4 linked regions of the Schizosaccharomyces pombe genome follow. The gene in region 4 interacts genetically with the main gene of each other region. Each region holds a gene or a part of one and is shown on either strand. Other genes may lie near its edges. The genes, in order: def1, cbp8, are2 and cce1.

Region 1 (5,908 bases), on a different chromosome or scaffold from region 4:
AAACAACACAAAATATGCTGGATTGTAAATACTCAGTTTAAACACATATGAGAACTTAAAGTAAGATATCTTTATTATCAATTTATTTTATTAGCTTCACATGAAGGAATATAAATTACATTTATTTCAAAACCTGATTAATACTTGTTCGCAGCTTTAGGTATGTGTATAAATTTATTAAATATGCTTAGTAACTGTCTACGGCCACACCTAGGCGAAAACACCAGTTCCCGTCCGATCACTGCAGTTAAGCGTCTGAGGGCCTCGTTAGTACTATGGTTGGAGACAACATGGGAATCCGGGGTGCTGTAGGCTCCTTTCTTTTTTTTTCGGAATATTATTTTATTCTTACAATGTTAACGGCTTCACTGAATTTTTTATGCTGCTTTGTTGATGATACTGTAAAAAATAGTGACAAATAAAGATTTTGAAATATATCAAACCTATCTGTAAACATTTGAGAACAATTCTAGCGTACGAATTAACTTGTCCATATCTTGTTGTCATACGAATGCACTGTTTATTGTTCATCGTTGACAGTTTTCAATGTAAAATCAATTTTTTATTTGAGAAAATGGTTTCTAATGTGCCGCTTTTGTTAAAAAATTATAGTGCAACAATAGATAGATATGCTATTCCTTGAAATGTGGGTTTCTTTTCATTACTCTTTACAGTTTTCTGTTATGTTGTCGTTTTGAAAATGGACTCTTCACAAGAAGAGAGTATTGACTTTAGCAATTTAAACATAGAATCTTAGCACGTTTGATTTTATTATTTTATAATTAGTTAGTCATTTGAATTGCCAAAAATGGTGACTTAATTTTGGTTACTAACAATTGAATAAAAAAATAAAATAAAAATAAAAAGAAGAAAAATCAATATAAATTGCGAGATGATACTACTAAAGTTCACAGCAATTTTTTTTAAAAAACAACGAAAATTTGTAAAAAATGACAAAATTAAAGATGAAATAGTAAAATAATGCGAACGCTTCATCAAACCATTTGACACATTAGTTATAAGCATTGACAGAAACTTTGATAATAATGCTTTTAGAATTTATCTTAATATAACTAGGCGATTATTCAGCTGTACAATTTAGTTTTTTTGAATAAATTATAATGTTATTTTATCAATATTCTATGTTTTTATAACTCTACAATTAAATAGATATATGCTTTTTAATAGAGCATTCTAACAAGCTTTGGTGGTTTAGTGGTATAATGAATCGTTGCCATCGATTCGACCCGGGTTCGATTCCCGGCCAAAGCAATGTTTCTTGTTTTTATTGTTAATTTAATATTAGCAGGCTTCATATTTATTTTTTTAGATAAAGGGCATCACGTTTATAAGTGTGGTTCACTTGAACCCAACAAAGTGAATGAAGAGCTTCGAATGTTACTGAAGCCGCGTAATTAGAACGGATGGATTATTACTTGAAGCAGTAATTAAAGTTTTCATAAATTGACCAACTGAATACCCGATATTGCATTGCAAATTTCTAAACATACCAACGTGTTAGGAATCTGTAATAGCAAAGCATGGAACGAAAGGTGTTTAGTCAACTTGAATTTAGCTAAACGAATTGCACATCTTTTAACAGTATCGAAGAAATTGGGCAATAGAAAAGTTAATACAATGAGCTCTACTTTCATCATATTTTCATGTATTCAGGCAAGCAGCTAACTAGCTATTGTCTTAAGAGCAATAAAGATACACAACGGTAAATCGTTAAATACAATAGTAAACTGCACTCCACTACTATATAAATCAAGCTTTTAGAAAAGGTAATCGCAAAAATGAAGAAAAAGTAAAGTAAAATTTAAACAATAACATTGTTCTTTATAACGTTATAAGTTTTTCTATGTATAAAAATTTCAAGGAAAGCTATAGTTTGCACTTTAGCGCATTCACTACCACCTTGCTCTGGTATAGGCAATTTCCATTTAAGCAAAAGCACTATGCTGCACGACACCAAAACGCAGCCAGAACCACTACCCTTAAATAACACGAAAAATCTTGCATATCGTCTTGAAGCACGAATACACGTGCCTTGTCGATTTTCAAGACCTGTATTAATTTTTGTAAAGAAAAGTAGAATCAAAAATGAGTGAGAATAAAAAGTTTCGGCCAAAGAAGGTCGGAAATACCGAACAAGTTTCAGAAAAGCAACACACAGATACAGCGTTAAATATATCGCAAGATAATAAAACTTCATCCTCTTCCGCCAAGAGAGGAGCGAAGGGAAGGCGAGGCACCAAAGGAAAATCTGGCCCGGCAAATTCGTCTCAGACTAGTAATATAGAGGGATCAAATGCGCTTGAGCTCGAATTTGATCGTGATTCGCAGTTAAGCGTATTGCAAGAGCTGTTTCCTAGCTGGACGATTGATGATTTAAGTTTTGCTTTAGAAGAAGCGGACCGGGATTTGGAACTGACCATATTGCATATTACTGAAGGTCACGCCTCCAAATGGGGTGAAGTTAAAAAGAAGCCAATCCCTAAAACAAAGTCCAAACCAACAAGTCATGCTCCAGTTTCCGATAATGTCTCTTCCACCTTTCGTAATGCTACACGTAAATCAAAGAAACCTTCCGCTTCTAAGGATACTTCTCGGGGGGTTCGAAAATCAAAAGCAGGAGCTCCCTCAGATCCTTCTTCCGTTCATGCACCATCCTCTTTAGAAAAGCCTGCTGGTACTGGCGATCTTCCTTCCTCAGAAATTTCTACCAAAGCTCCTGCATCAACGACAGTGTCTTCTTCCGTTGATCCTGGTACTATTAATGAAGATTCCTCAATGAAAGATCATACTACATCTAATGAACAAGCTTCAGTTTTAACATCGGCTAATACCGCTGCTTCAACAAATACGAACGGCACCGCAGGCGGTACTTCGGCCTCAGCAAAGTCGACCAGTGCGGCTGATCAGGCTGTTGCATCTTCAAAGCCTATAAAGAAGGCTTGGGCTTCAGTTGCAAAGTCGAAGAAAAAGGTCACTCCCGCTCCCGCTCCCGCTCCCGAATCCGAACCTTCTAAACCCTCTATCGCTCCTTCTCAACCCTCTAAAACTAATGTTTCCGCTGCTTACGAAAAACCTGCTGAACTGTCATCCTCATCTGTTCCTTTCCCTCACAAATCCCAGGACTCTGCAACTCCCGCAAATGTTGAAACGACCCCCTCCACAGCTACCTCAGCTCCCAAAAAGAGTACTGCCCCATTTGCCATAAATGCAGTCAAGCCCGCTCCTGGGCTTTCCAACATCTCTTCTGCTTCCCTACCTAAGCCCTCCTTTGCGAAGCAAGCCGCTGTTGGCTCTCAAAGCTCTACAACTAGTATGACTACTGCTCGATTACTTTCTGATAGATTCCCCGTCGTTATGCCTGTTGCTAATACTGCTGCTATTCCCGAAAAGGTTCAAGTGCGTTTCGGAAGCTTGACACTTGGGGGTGAGGACAAAAAATCGACAAAGTCTTCTTCAGACAACATAGCACAGTCTGGACCAAGAAGTTCCTATTTTCCTAAAAAGACAGTTTCACCAAAGCCAGAGGCAAAAAAAGAGGCGAGCAAAGTTGCTGAATCCACCAAAATCCCAAAGAAACAACACACTTCAGCATATGAAAGCCGTGCTCCACAATCGAAGGTTCCCGAAAACTTGAAGGAATCTCATGTTAACGAGACACCATATCGTGGTTTACACGATGTAAATTTACCGGCCAGTGGAAACGCCTCTTCTGTCTCGGCCATCCCTCCTCAAGTATCAGCCCAAACGACTATACCCGCTGCATCCACAAGTGCTACAAGTGGCCCGGTGGTTGGTAAACAAAGTGCCGGATATGGCGGTATTTATTCTCCTGCTACACATGGAATTTCCCCTCAACCATATGCTGGTGCTAGTCTTATTCCTCCGTCTACCGGAGCTGCTTTTAACAACGAAACTGCATCTTCAAATGCTGGGGAGACAACTGCACTTCCATATTCTTCTAGATTTATGAATCCTGTGGAAAACCGCTCCGCCAATAGCCCATTCGACAATTTTCAACACATCGACCATAGTACTGAATTGGGATATGCTTCAAATACTTCTCAACAATATCAACAGACTAGTCATCCAGCATACACTACTATGTCTCCTATTGAATATGGTCAAGCTGCACCAGCAGCTCATTACTATAATGAGCGTAATCAATACTCACAATATGATAATGTCGCTGGTAGTGCGTCGAATACACCAGATGTGCACTCGGTAATGCATAACAAGGTTGCATCTTCTAATGCTACTTCTCTACCTGCTGCTGGAACAGCGACTCCTAGCCCTGTTGTTTCTCAACAACAGCCCCAACCTTATGCATTTCCTCCAATGTATCCTATTCCTTATGTGTCTTATGGATACGGTACGATGCCTTACAATAATAACAAGTTTGGACAGCCCCAGCAAGGATACATGTCTCAGAGCGGCTTTAATGATTTCCCTCCCATCTTTGGTGGACACAGCAACGTGTACAACAGACAACAGCCTGGCAATGTAAGTGGTATGAGTGGAACACAAACTAGCAACCCAATTAATAATGCCACTGCAAATACTAGCGGCATGACTGAGAAAGCGGCTGGACATCGTGACTCTGTGATTGGAAATGGAGGCGTAACCGGGGCGAACAGCATGTCAAGTACTTTGGGTGGTTTGTCTTCCATGTCAGGGATGGGACGTGCGGCTCCTGGTATGTTTATGGGTAATGTTGGAAGTTTTGAAAACCTTAGTGCCAATGCGGCCTCTCCTTATGGCTTACCTCCTCAACAAACGCCATTGACCAATGCTGCTACTCAGCAGACAACCTCTTTTCAAAGCAATGCTAACAAGGTCAACAATGCAAACAGCCAACCCGCTGGGTTTCCGTTCAACTCTGGAGCATCTACCAATGCAGGTAGTAATGGATTAGGAGGCTATAATGCATACAACCAGTCATTTATAAACCGACCAGGAGGTTGGTACGGTAATGCTTAAATTGAACTTATGATCAAAAAGTTTGATAACGTAGAAGTTGGAAAATGCTTTTTATAAGGATTCAAAAATAGGCTAAAAATAATTGCGGACAAGATGCTATTAATGGAAGGGTAAAATCGATTTTATTGGGACAATCGAATTTATGAAGTTTTTCAATATATATATGTGTGTGATTTATATGGCTATGTGGTCACATGTGTTTTCTGTTTGATAGTGCTTAATTATGTAGTTTGAAATGTTGCTTGTTCATATCATAACATATCATACCACGCCGTAATGTTGCCATTATATGGTAATTCCTTGTATGTTCATAGAGTATTTTTTTATTGCATTATTAAAACAAACTGGCGTTTTGGAAGAGGGAAAGGGTAAATAAAGATTTGATGTTAAGGTATTTGTAGGTGTGGGTAAGCAATGCGAAGTGGGATAACTAGTTTCAAGTAATGATTATTATATTTCCAAAAGTCAAGTGCTAATGAAACACGTTTAATCAGTTGGCAATTTAGGGGGGTGGTTCACTCGGCATTCCTATTTTAAACAATTTTTGACGGCAAATGTTAAGCGAATTCGCTAAAGCAAAGTGTAAAAAAAAAAAAGCTTCGCTAGTAATATATGCCACACTTCAGTCAACAACACTACGTCAACCCTATACGCTAAGTCTACTGAATAGAAAAACTTGATACTTTTATTTACATTGAAATGAAGAGCAAATTTGTATAATACGTATTATTGATTCTAGAAATATAGCAAATTGAAACATCCAAATTTAGCAAAACAGCATGTCGCTGTTGTAAAATTCTCATGAAAAAATAGAATGTCTAACCTTCACTACTGGCAAGATTCGTTCATGTAGATGTAGTTGAAGAAGAGACAGTGTCATACACAAACGTAGAAAAAGTTCTGAAAAGGA
Region 2 (4,507 bases), 1.9 Mb from region 4:
TGTCATCCATTCTCCCCAATGAATCTAAAACGGGTAATGAATCACCTGAAAAGAAATTTTCTTCTCCTGTGTTGTTGCAAAGGGCCAAAGTGATTCCTTTGAGACTTGAATATGAAGAAAGAAAGCTTCTTCATTTACTTACTGCTGCATTGGATGTGAGTGATTATACCGACAGCGTTGATACCCTAAGCTTTTCGTCGCCAGCGAAAAGACTGGCTCAGCAATTGAAAGGAATTACTGCAGTTTTGTCGGGTATCATGGTTGCTTATGATTATAAAGTTGGACAAGAATTGCTTGAGCATAAAAATTTTGAACAACATGCCGAATTTTTTAAAAAGATTTTTGAAATAGGTCGACGTTATAAAGTGCTAAATCCCAACCGACTGGGGTCTACTTATGGGAAATTGATGTACTTTGTGCAAGATTCTATGCGACCAGAAATTCAAGACGCACTTGGATTTAACCTCTTTAAACCCATTTTGACTGTCTATGAATTTTTGAATGAAAGGGATGCTTTGAACGCATTAGAAGATCCTTATGCCGAAATTGCTACTATGGAAATAGTCGCTGAAAATAGATCACGCTCAGCGATTCAAAAAGATATTAAAGCGAAAGAAAGAGCTGTTGAACATATTGCAAAAAAGTATTACAGCAGCAAAATTACAAAAGAGAAAGTACGATGGTGTCTCTACTCTATTGCTGATAGTAACAGTTACTTGAGATATAATCGTGATCCAATTGCCAAACTCATAGGCTTGGTAGAAGCATATTTTTCTCCAGATACCGTGGACGATGAGTTTACTCTTGCTATTGATGCCATTAATGGCTCAAGACTAAAGCATAGTCATTACAAACAGTACCATTATGTTGTGCAAAGTTTGCATCTTTGGCTTTTAATTATGGGAGAAATATTTTCATTATGGGCTCTTAGTGATCTGGAGTTAACTAACCCAGATATGGAGTATAAGCTAATTGATAACAATCAAGGAATACACAGAATGCAGCCTTGTCCCAACATTAGAATTGCGATGGAAAGGATTTTGCGGACGGCTCAAGAACAGTCTGAAACATGGATAGGAAGTTCAACAATCCATCTCGGAGATACCGCTGTTCCAAATGCCTTATTGTTTATAGACAAGTATATGCAAGTGCCAAGGATTTTAACACCCTTGGTTCTATTGTTCAAGGAGTTAGATTCTTTAAATGACCATTCTCTTCTTAACTACATTGATACAGCTTTTGGAGGCAGAGAATATTTAAAAAAGACTATTTTAACCGATTTTATGAGATTCGGATTTGATGGATCTGGTGCAGACAATTGGTTTGATGTAAGTTAAAATTATCTATCTATATATATATCTGTTTAATTACTAACTAGCTCTAGGCTGGCAGTTGTATTGATGGACGTTTGACTAGTGCCTGGAATTGGGCAAACAACATACACACAAAAGATTACTATCGTGTACTTCTCATGTCCGGATTTCTTAGCTTCAATGGTGAGTAATTATTTAGTAATGGATTAAAATACAATCTTTTAAGCATCAGTTATTTTATTATTGCAAAAATGTATATAAATTCTCGACGTGTAATAGGCTCCCACCAACAACTGCCAACATCAGGAAATCTTATTACGTTTCGCGTAAATTGTTCAAAAGATTGACATAAATACACGTACCAAAAACCTTTATTTACTTTATTTTATTGAAGTTGGTTGTATTTAGAGATACTTTGATCGGTTTATACTTAGAATACTTTGGAGATTAATTTGATAAAGGATTAAACCTAGGATGCGTTTATGTTGAAAACCCTTAGCAAAGTGTCAAAAAACTTGTCAAATACAAGTGCTTTTCTTGTCAAGTCGAAACCCTTATACATTTCTTTTTGCACTTGCAAAGCGTACTTTGAAGACAATACTTCATTAAGCAGACGGTTTTTCTCTGCAAAAAAAAGTTTACAATTCAAATCTTTAATAAGAAAGTATTCTGAAGACTCTACCTTGGCCTGGAGAGATTATGAAAACTATAATGATGATGACCTGCTATATCAACGTGAGTTATCAGAAATATATAACAAATGTCTGAAAGCTCTGCATCCGTTTTACCCAGTTTTTGAGGTTAATAGTAACTTGTATTATCAGTTGCTAATGTTTACGAATTATTCAAATCCGAAAGATAATGGTTTTTCAAAATTGCTTTTCTCACAATATTCTGACGAAAAAAAGGTACTGGTAAATTTCGTATATAATGTGCTTCGTTTAGATCCGGATTTGCAAAGGCAAAAGCGAATTCTGGAGAGCATTATTTCAGCTGCCTTGAATATTTGCGTATCTACTGTAAATTTGAGTAGAACTGACTTAAAATCTTCTTTAAAAATAATTTTGCAAACAATTGATCTGTTTAAATATGACAGTTCATTCTCTTCTATATATTTTCGAAAAGATGGACCGTACCACAAAGTTGAAAAACTGCTGAAAAGCGCTAATATTCGCTCTTCACTTAATTCAAAAACTTTTAATGATTTCCGCACACTTTTCTTGCTTCTCATTAGAGATTACAGTCTTTTCCATGGAAATTCGAGCCATTGCATGTTAGCTAATTCTATGCTACCACCGTCTATTGCTTTTTCGAAGATGGAGAAGGCTGAAATTTTTTTACGTTTACGTGCGTTTTTTCAGCTTATGGAGCATATTGATAATGAAAGGATAACTCCATCTGAACAGTTTCTGGATAAAGTCTTTATATCTCTCCTTTCGGCTAAAAATAGCTGCTCTCTTAAAATGTGGCTCATTCACTCATTTAATAAGGGATGGCCGGTAAAAATTGAGTTTTTTGTTTCTTTTTTCAAAAATTTTTCCAATATAGTAGAAGGCTCTATGGAGGTCTATTCCGCATATTTACATATTATACGAGATCACTACAATTTATCTGATTTGGCTGACGTACAAGCAATTTTTCTTTCTCGTTTTATTTTATTAAGAAAGAAAGAAGATTGCAAAAAACTACTGGAGCATGTTTTACCTATTCGTCAGCTTTTTTTGTTAAATTGCTATAGCCTGCTAAATGTACTCGCTAATTACGTTGTCGTCTTTAAAGATCGTTTAATTTTTCAAGAAATAAATCAAAATTGGGAAGAGCATAAAGGCCAAATTCCGGAAAATTTTATTTTCTCTCTTTTGAAGATGTTTGGTGAAATGCAAGAGAATCAAGGTTTTTTGAATGCCTGTATTTATTATATAAACAAAAAGAAAAATTTAAACGAAGTTAGTCGTTATAAGATTAATTTATTATTACTACAAGGTGTGAATTCCTTCGAAGTAAAAGACTTTTACAGAAAACGAGGAATCGAAATAATGCCAAAAAACCTGCCCAGATTTTTTTGTTATTGTTTAAAAAAAAATAAATTAAGTTATGCTTTAAAGTATATACGGTTATCTGGGCTTCAGTTTGATTACATTGTTGATTGTTTCCGTAATAGCAGCGACTGGACCAGAACTCTGATTTCGATATTGAGCAAAAAAATGGGAACTGAATTCGCAATTCGTTTTTTAAAGATAATTTCTTTTCCTTTGTTATCAAATGACAAAGTTCTCCGAGAGATCGAATTTTTTGCCATTCACGAGGTAAATTTTAGAAGTCTCAAATGGGTTGCAGATCAACAATTGCGAATTCTCCCAGGATGGAGTTCTCGCCCCCAAAAAGCAACATTTCCTTTATGTACAGTTCATTTAAAAAAGTGATAATTCTCGATAGTGCTGCTTCCAATCTACATCGTGCTTGGTGCTTGATACATTTAAACGCATTGTTTGATAATTAATATATTCATTGGTATCAAGTTGTACTTTACGAGGTATGCAGCCAACAATAGATTATTTACATTAACATTGAGAGACTTAATAAAGCAGCACATTTAAAAATGAGATCGACATTAGAATCAAAACCCGTATAATAATAAGCAGTATTTCCAACTATTTTCCTAACAAATCTGATGCCATCTATATTATCACTACGTACTGAACACTTCTATGTCGCAAAGAAAAAGTGCGGTTAAAACTTTTTGTTGTAGATAAAAGACAAAATTTGAAAGAAACAAAAAACTTAAACTGCCCAAATTTTTATAGCAATCCATTTTCTTTCCCACGTTGATTAATAATGCATATATCCACTGGAATGGTTAGGGCTTCTATATCTAATACTTTAGTAACATTAACCATCGAAGGAAACAATGATCGATACCAAGTCATACTTGATAAAAACGTAAATGCAAAACAGTTTGTTAAAACGTGTTGGAGAAACAAAAAACCATTGTAAGATTGTTATTGACGACAAGAAACTAAACTATTAGAATTGTAAAAGAAGGAAAAATATTTGTAGACAAAGGATTCCCTTTTGATCCATGCAGAACATTTTTGGAAGCACTTTACGAAAAATATTCATATTCAAGTCCCCTACCTTCCTCTGTTGAATTTAAAAGTGGAAAACAGGTAGAATTCTGTGGTTTCGAAAAAATC
Region 3 (4,790 bases), on a different chromosome or scaffold from region 4:
ATATATAAACTTTCCAAATCCGGTTCTTTTTGAATTACTCTAAGTGCACAGAGAACAGCCTTCTTTGATATATAATTATGATGGTTAGAGCAAAGTTCGGCTATGTCGTTTGACAAATCCCTTGCAAGCTCAGGGCCAGCGACATTACCAAACGCAGATAATGCCAACCCCACAATAAATTTGTCTCTAGATTTCAAGTCATTTTGAAGAGAATTTGTCAATAACGTCAAAACTTCCTGGTTCTCGTCTAACAGAAGCATAGCTGCTAGGTATCCCAAACGTTTATCCATGAATCGCGAACTCGACAACAATTTTAAACATTCAATCTGACCAAAGTGTGTCGGCTCACCGAGTAGAAATAAATATAGCAGCTTGGCAACATTTTTTCTGCGCATACGCATGTCATTAGAACCTTGACGAATGTTTTTTCTGATTTGAGCCGACTCTTTGAGAATCGTTGTGTGCTCCTCAGCAGTCGTTTTGGATGCCCGAACAGCCTTTATAAAAGATTTTAAACTTGACATCTTTGGATGCGTCTTTGGGGAATTGGTGAAACCTCTTTCCACTCCCGAACAAGTAAGATGCAGGTTCTTTGGATGTGTTGTTTGCATTACTTGGCTGTTGCTTGTACATGCGGTAGGGTATTGCACGGTAAATTTCTTTAAAACGAATTTAACGTTGCGACTCTTTCGTCAATCTATCAATAATGAATACTAAAAAATATGCTTTAAATAAAATAAATTTTAATTTGTTTTGTTGCTGCTGTGTTACGTTAAGTCAGCTGAAGTGTCTTTTTTTATAATTCCTAGTTTTTATTAAGCAGATGTAAATACCATTTATATTGATTAACTTAATATTATGTTACCACTTATTGCAAGTACATTTAAGAAGGTGTACTATGGCTAAGAGTTGAATATTTTTTAGGTATGGTTTTTGTGCTTTTCAGTAATCATATTACGTTTAATACACATTCCCTTATTAGAGGTTCTTAATAAAATCCATGTGCAATACTAAAGTTATCTTTCCATCCGTACCAATATTCACTGAGATATTTTACGTTCCTACTATAATTGATTCCAGTAAATATTAACTTGCATTTCTATGAGATGTATTGAAAGCAAACAGAAAAACGCAATCTAAACACAGAATATATAAAACAATGAAAATCAAATCAATTTCACTTAACAAAATAGGATGCAGCTTTAAACGACGCTCAAAACTGATGCATTCACCAATACTGCACAAATTAAAAGAATACCTAGCTTCCTTTGGTTATCTGTGTAATTTTTGAATTATCCTATCGAATTTGCTATATGGAGTTGTTAATTGATGGGCAATATCTGGAATTTATGTTTCTCTATTCGTTCTTGACCACGCTATGTGGCTTTGCTTCTTAACTATGCAGTTTGTAACCAGTTTTAATGGCACGTTAAATCACAGTGAGTTGTATTTGTGCACTACTATATTGCGATATGCAGGTAACGCGAAAATCGGGTATTAAGGTGTTATTGTAAATTATTATTGAAATGCTCATAATATGTAAACTAAGGGAAAAAGGTTCGATTGAGCATTCTTTTTTGTTTGTACCTGTCAGTCATTTGGTAATAAGCTACAATAAGCAAGTGCCAATGTCGTATCACATATAGCGGATAAATGAATAGGACATGTGATATATAGTGATACGTAACGAAATTTTACATAACGTGGTGTAGTATTGCAGATATTGCTGAGATCAGGTGGTTCATCGTCTTAGCTCGCAATTCTAACTTATCAACTCCTTTGCTCATTTTGAAACTGGAGACTTGGCTTTTCCTTACATAAATCGCATAGAACGTGAATTGCTTAGGAGTTCGAGCTTTTTATTTACTTCCATTCTATAGTGGAACATTTGGCATAGAATTTTTATTTTTGGAATCACGACTGTGGAGTTTTCGTCATACCAGTTCTGTCATCTTGAAATTCCAAGTTGGAACTTCCATCAATAGATTACATTTCTAAGTTTCTTGCTTTCATTCCTCAATTTTTTATTTAGAAGCGAAGCAAAAAATAAATTTAATCTTCCTACGTTCATATCCGCTTCTTTTTCAATTTCTTTGATACTGTTCGCGATACGTAGCTGCTGATTTTACGTTATTTTTTTGTTTTATCTTTTTCTTTATATATTTATCTTTTTTGTTATATATTCACTTAGTTGCTTTAATTGCTGGTTATTTAAAGATGATTGCTGCAACACCCGCTAAATCCAAACCATCGGATGTCAACTTGGAACAGACGTTCAAAGGTGTTTCTGAAACCTCAAAAATTGACCTTCGAAGGTCTAGGGCCGCTTACCGACCTCTGGAATTATCTCCTACTCCCTCGATTTTTGCTCGTAATTATCAACGTAATGCGGTAGACTTTACTGGATTTTTTGTGTTATTTTGGGTTGCTGTCTCTATTATGATTTTCATGAGCTTTTTAGAAAATTTCGAATTGACTGGAAGACCAGTTGTTGGCACTATTTTTAAATACTTTCAGTCTAATTTGTTAGATCTGGCAAAGGCAGACCTTGCTATGTCTTCAATGTTTCTACTTGCTTTTCCTTTCCAAAAGATTTTTGCTTTGGGATATCTGCGGTGGTATGGTTTAGGCGTTTACCTCTATTCCATTCTTATTTTACTTTTTTTAAGCCATTGTGTTTTACGCTGCTGTCTTAGCAACTGGTCCTGGACGCATCGTGCTATGTTTATTCTTCATTCTATGGTAATCCTTATGAAGCTTCATTCCTATAACGTTGTCAACGGTTGGTATTCTTATTGTTATCATTCGTTAAATAAGCTTCAGTCAAAAAAAACCGATCTTGATGATGATGAACGATCCTCAGTTGAGTTTTATGAACATTGTCTCAACCATCATGGTAATACTTATCCGGAAAATTTAACCATACCAAATGCTTTGGATTTCCTTTTCATGCCCAGCTTATGTTATCAATTATACTACCCAAGAACCGCCCATGTGCGAATTCATTATTTGATTGAATGCGCTTTGGGAACGTTTGGTTGTATCTTTCTTTTGGTCATTATTTCTGATCATTTCATGGTTCCTGTACTTGCTAAAGCCATTCGAACCATTATTGAAGCTCCTGAAGACGCATCTGCTACTTATTTTGCTATACGTTTAGGCCATACTGTAGCATTTTTGATGTTCCCATTTATGCTTAGCTTCCTCCTCGTGTTCTGGGTCATTTTTGAAGGAGTTTGTAATTTCAGCGCAGAGATTACTAGATTTGCCGATAGAAACTTTTATGATGATTGGTGGAATTGCTGGACTTGGGATCAATTTGCCCGAACCTGGAATAAGCCCGTTCATTACTTTCTCCTTCGCCACGTTTATGTTCCCCTCAACTCTTTCATGTCAAAGTCTTTATCGACTTTTTTCACGTTCTTTGTCTCCTCTGTATTACATGAACTTGTTATGGGATGTATCACTTTAAAAATCCGCGGTTACGGTTTGTTTTTTCAAATGACTCAAATCCCGTATATCATTATTCAGCGACAGAAGTTTGTTCGAAGACATAGACTGCTGGGAAATATTGCGTTTTGGTTTTCTATCATAATTGGTATCGCTCTTATTGCAGCTCTTTATATCTTATTTTAGAAGCGATAGGGGTCTCCATTATGAATAATTACCTCTTAGATTTTTTTTACAATGCGTTATTTTTTCTAGTGACTATTTCTATCTTTGACACTTTTTGTGGCTCATTTCATCTGCCCAATAAGGGCTCCTTTATGACATTTTATGAATTGTTTTGTAATGCAAGTAGGAAATGCCATTTCTATTTGAACACGTCAAAAGGCTGCAGAGTAATTTTGGTAAAACTTAGTTTTTGTGCCTCTGTGGAACTTCCGTTTCATTTTGTGTCGGTTCATTTGCTTGTTTATGATAAAATGGAATCCTGATTAAATTAACGAATTAAAGAAATGGGTTTAAAACATTTTTTTCGTTGAAAATTATGTTAACCGATTTGTTGTTTACTTAAGATTTTTAACATTCACAGATGTTCGTTTAATTTTTAGCCAGATGATTGCTTTGATTAATAAGTTTCCTCATCTCGTATTTTCATTAACATAACCATCACTGTTATTAATCGAATTAATGTGTCTAATCGTCAGTGGTTAGGATATTCGATTTATTCAGTTTTCCCATTCTTAATAAATGTACTTTTCTGTCTTGCACAATAAAATTATTATAGCAAGAAACCTAGATAACGCAACCCAATGTGCAATAGCACTGTACAGTAAATTGCCTATAAGCAGGGGTAGATATTTTTACCACTGGAATCCCAACTCACCAAGAACCCATATCTTGTAGTTCGAAGTTTGATTCGGAAAAACCTCTTGTGTATTTCAAGGTGCTCTTTCTCAAAACGAAATCGCAAGGGTATCGTTTGGGTGCAATACGGGATGATGGTAATAGAGAACCCTTTTTTAAGTACTGCTACAAGCAGTCAGACACCTCAAGAGGATGGCGTGTACACGTCTTCCCTGCACAACAGTAACAATCCTTTTTTAGCTCCCAAGACAGAGCGTGTGGCTGATCCGGTCATGGAATCTATGGCAGATGACTTGGTATGTAAATTTTTGAGGCTGAAGTAGATATAATTCGGTCATTGCTTCGTTACGTGAAGATTTGTTAAATTTATTGAAACCTTTCCAAATTAGTGTTCTATTAAGAGTTTTTAAGTTTCTAATTTAAAGCGCTCATAACGTACATTTTATTTAGACAAGGAGTTTCTTCGGTTTGCAATGAAG
Region 4 (3,047 bases):
CATTAGAATATTCGCTCATTTTATATATCAATGGCCCAGTTGTAATAGTCAGTCGAATAGTTAATTGAATAAACTACTTTAGATCTACATGCGCAATAAGTTTTAAGTTTGGGGTTTTTACTGAACATTTTTCATCCCCAACAACGGTTCATATATTGAAACAATAGTGCGTCAGACAATTCGCAATTTTTTTTTTCTAAAAACAGTATATTCTCTACTTTTCAGTCAGTTAATATATTCCGGAACAAAGTCATATTCTTCTTAAAACTTATTCATACTAGTGCTGCTTGTGTAAAAAAAGAATCAAATACAAAACATGTTACTTGACAGATCCTCTATAATAGAATATGGAAACGAAATAGAAATGAGAATGATTGAAGTTCAAGCTTAAAGTCAGTAATAGATTTGCTTTTTGCATAAGAAAAAAATCAGTGGAAAACGCTTTGAAATCCTTAAAGCATTTTTTGTATTTGCGTAAGACATTGTCTGCTATATGCTTTCAGAGGAGTTTTAGAAATCCAATAGCAGAAATTCATCATTAATGTTAAAGGTAGCTGAATACAAATTAAACAGCGTTAAAATCAAAATCCGATAAACCTTCACGTTCATTCCGTGGTTACATTTGTAGTTCATTTTTGTCAACCATCGCCGTTCTATATACTTGCTAACTATAGTACAATGTGTGCCATCAAAACTTTGAAAATTTAATCCTAATAGTTTAAAACAAATGTTACAGTTTAAGTATTTCAATGTCCAAGACTTCAAATATGGAGTTTTACCTAACTTGCATAGAAACTCGGTATTATAATAAAAGACAATGACGGATTCGGGGTATTAAATGAAGACTTCAGCTGTATAAAAGCTTTTCTGTTATATATCTTAAATTTTGTGGATTCCAAATTAGCTTTCAAATACAAACTGTGCCATTTTACACAACCTCGATCATTCATAAAACAATAATAAACTTGCTCACTTACAAACAAGTCTTAAGAATTGATTTAAGTCAATGTCTGATTGCAAACATATTAACAATCTGTGATAAATTTCTTTTGCCATGTATTTCTAACTTTAGGTTGATGAGTTCAAACCTCCTATGAATCGACGTATATCGTTGTTGATATTTCACATAAACTTGGACTCGCCAATCTTTGTTCATATTTTAATGCTTATTTATTCAGATAATTCCCAGGTGACTAGCAGTTTGAACTAAGCAAGACGTTGTCAACGACTTCAAACATCGCAAGCTTATGGAATAAAAGAAAAAAAATTACATGTTTCTACTCGTAAGTGAAATAAAAATTCCCGGACTCCCATTTACCAATCCTTCGTTTTTTGTATTACCATATACTATCTTTCACGTTTGCATCTAGCATCTAAAACTGTTCACTTCTAAAAACAATTCATTTTAAGAGAAATAATCATTTTTTCTTATTTGAATAAACTCAATTCTTACTGCCTCGTTTCCTTGTTTTTGCAAAAAAAAAAAACATAATCATTGCTATAGGTTTACAACTTCATATCCGTTTCTTTATGTCAATTTATTCTTTTTTACAGAATGGCTACTGTGAAACTTAGTTTTTTACAGCACATCTGTAAGTTAACTGGATTGTCAAGAAGTGGAAGAAAGGATGAGTTGCTTCGAAGAATTGTTGACTCTCCTATTTATCCCACCTCTCGGGTACTTGGTATTGACTTGGGAATCAAAAATTTCTCTTACTGCTTTGCAAGTCAAAATGAAGATTCTAAAGTTATTATCCACAATTGGTCTGTTGAAAATCTAACTGAAAAAAATGGGCTTGATATACAATGGACCGAAGACTTCCAGCCTAGCTCCATGGCTGATCTTTCAATACAACTGTTTAATACATTACACGAAAAATTCAATCCGCATGTCATTCTTATGGAACGCCAGCGTTATCGTTCCGGTATTGCTACGATTCCAGAGTGGACGCTACGAGTAAATATGCTTGAAAGCATGCTGTATGCGTTACACTACGCAGAAAAAAGAAATTCAATCGAACAGAAAATACAATATCCTTTCCTTCTTTCTCTGTCCCCAAAATCTACATACTCGTATTGGGCATCAGTTTTGAATACGAAAGCATCTTTTTCAAAGAAGAAGAGTAGAGTACAAATGGTCAAGGAATTAATAGATGGTCAAAAAATCCTATTTGAAAATGAAGAAGCTCTGTATAAATGGAACAACGGTTCTAGGGTTGAATTTAAAAAGGACGATATGGCAGATTCTGCTTTGATTGCAAGCGGTTGGATGAGATGGCAAGCCCAACTGAAGCATTATAGAAACTTTTGCAAACAGTTTCTGAAACAATAGAAATGAACGATTGCCGTACGAATGTTTAGCCAATTTGTATATTGTAGTTTTATTCAAAGAAAAACTATCGTATATTGCATTTCATGATCCTATAAAAAAGGAAGAAATTAAACTAAATTCATAAAATTAATAATGATAACAAAAGGAATGCAGGCACATGTATCAAAGATCTTCTTTGAGCATTATTCTAAACTTCAACGATGAAAAATAACAAAACATAAAGAACATGAAATGAATTTTTTAAAAAAAATAAGAATGATGACAAACAAAAAAAGGTAATAAGGCCTTAAAAATAGCAACCCGACCTTGCTCATTTCAAAAACCCAAGTTTATATCCTCTATATTTCATGCATACAAAAGCACCAATAACAGCACCGAAAAATGAAATTTTTTATAATAAATTTGTATGAAACGGCTTTGAAGACGTAAAGAAAAAAGTAGAACTTGCAGTGAAGCCACAAAAGTCATAAGAGGACCATGATAGCGTCTGAGATCCTTTAAAAAAAACATAAAAAAACGCAACTCGTGATTGTTTAGTTCCCCAACAGAGTAAACCCTGGATAACACGCATTTACACAAGATTTAATCCCTAAAGTAAAGAAAGACGAGAAAAAATTAGTAGTATAAACACGTGGAAAACACACACACCTTTTGGAAATTGGTACATGATAGCTTTCAGGGAAAATTTAATATAATAAGCAATAGACCGTTTATA

What was found.
Region 1: mutations in cce1 (region 4) and def1 together harm fitness less than expected from each alone (positive genetic interaction), as found in Schizosaccharomyces pombe (one large-scale study listed by BioGRID).
Region 2: mutations in cce1 (region 4) and cbp8 together harm fitness more than expected from each alone (negative genetic interaction), as found in Schizosaccharomyces pombe (one large-scale study listed by BioGRID).
Region 3: mutations in cce1 (region 4) and are2 together harm fitness more than expected from each alone (negative genetic interaction), as found in Schizosaccharomyces pombe (one large-scale study listed by BioGRID).

The regions. Positions count from the first base shown.
Region 1 is NC_003423.3:568,955-574,862, forward strand, and holds def1 (RNAPII degradation factor Def1), read left to right. Parts: upstream 1-1,983; 5' UTR 1,984-2,106; coding exon 2,107-4,998; 3' UTR 4,999-5,366; downstream 5,367-5,908.
Region 2 is NC_003424.3:2,385,938-2,390,444, forward strand, and holds cbp8 (protein Cbp8), read left to right. Parts: upstream 1-1,598; 5' UTR 1,599-1,795; coding exon 1,796-3,736; 3' UTR 3,737-3,972; downstream 3,973-4,507. Other genes in the region: SPOM_SPAC22H10.08 (uncharacterized protein), read left to right, coding at 1-1,328, 1,385-1,504; alp21 (tubulin-specific chaperone cofactor E), read left to right, coding at 4,149-4,303, 4,342-4,507. UniProt on the Schizosaccharomyces pombe protein: Translation factor for cob1/cytochrome b; plays a role in cob1 mRNA stabilization and required for correct folding of the protein.
Region 3 is NC_003421.2:2,397,801-2,402,590, reverse strand, and holds are2 (acyl-coA-sterol acyltransferase Are2), read left to right. Parts: upstream 1-1,772; 5' UTR 1,773-2,217; coding exon 2,218-3,636; 3' UTR 3,637-4,252; downstream 4,253-4,790. Other genes in the region: AP-1 adaptor complex gamma subunit Apl4, read right to left, coding at 1-524; protein Pal1, read left to right, coding at 4,443-4,607. UniProt on the Schizosaccharomyces pombe protein: Sterol O-acyltransferase that catalyzes the formation of stery esters.
Region 4 is NC_003424.3:4,296,414-4,299,460, reverse strand, and holds cce1 (cruciform cutting endonuclease Cce1), read left to right. Parts: upstream 1-1,555; coding exon 1,556-2,332; 3' UTR 2,333-2,525; downstream 2,526-3,047. UniProt on the Schizosaccharomyces pombe protein: Capable of resolving Holliday junctions. Specific for 4-way junctions. Seems to be important for the maintenance of mitochondrial DNA. Cleaves fixed junctions at the point of strand exchange. Cleaves after 5'-CT-3' and 5'-TT-3' sequences.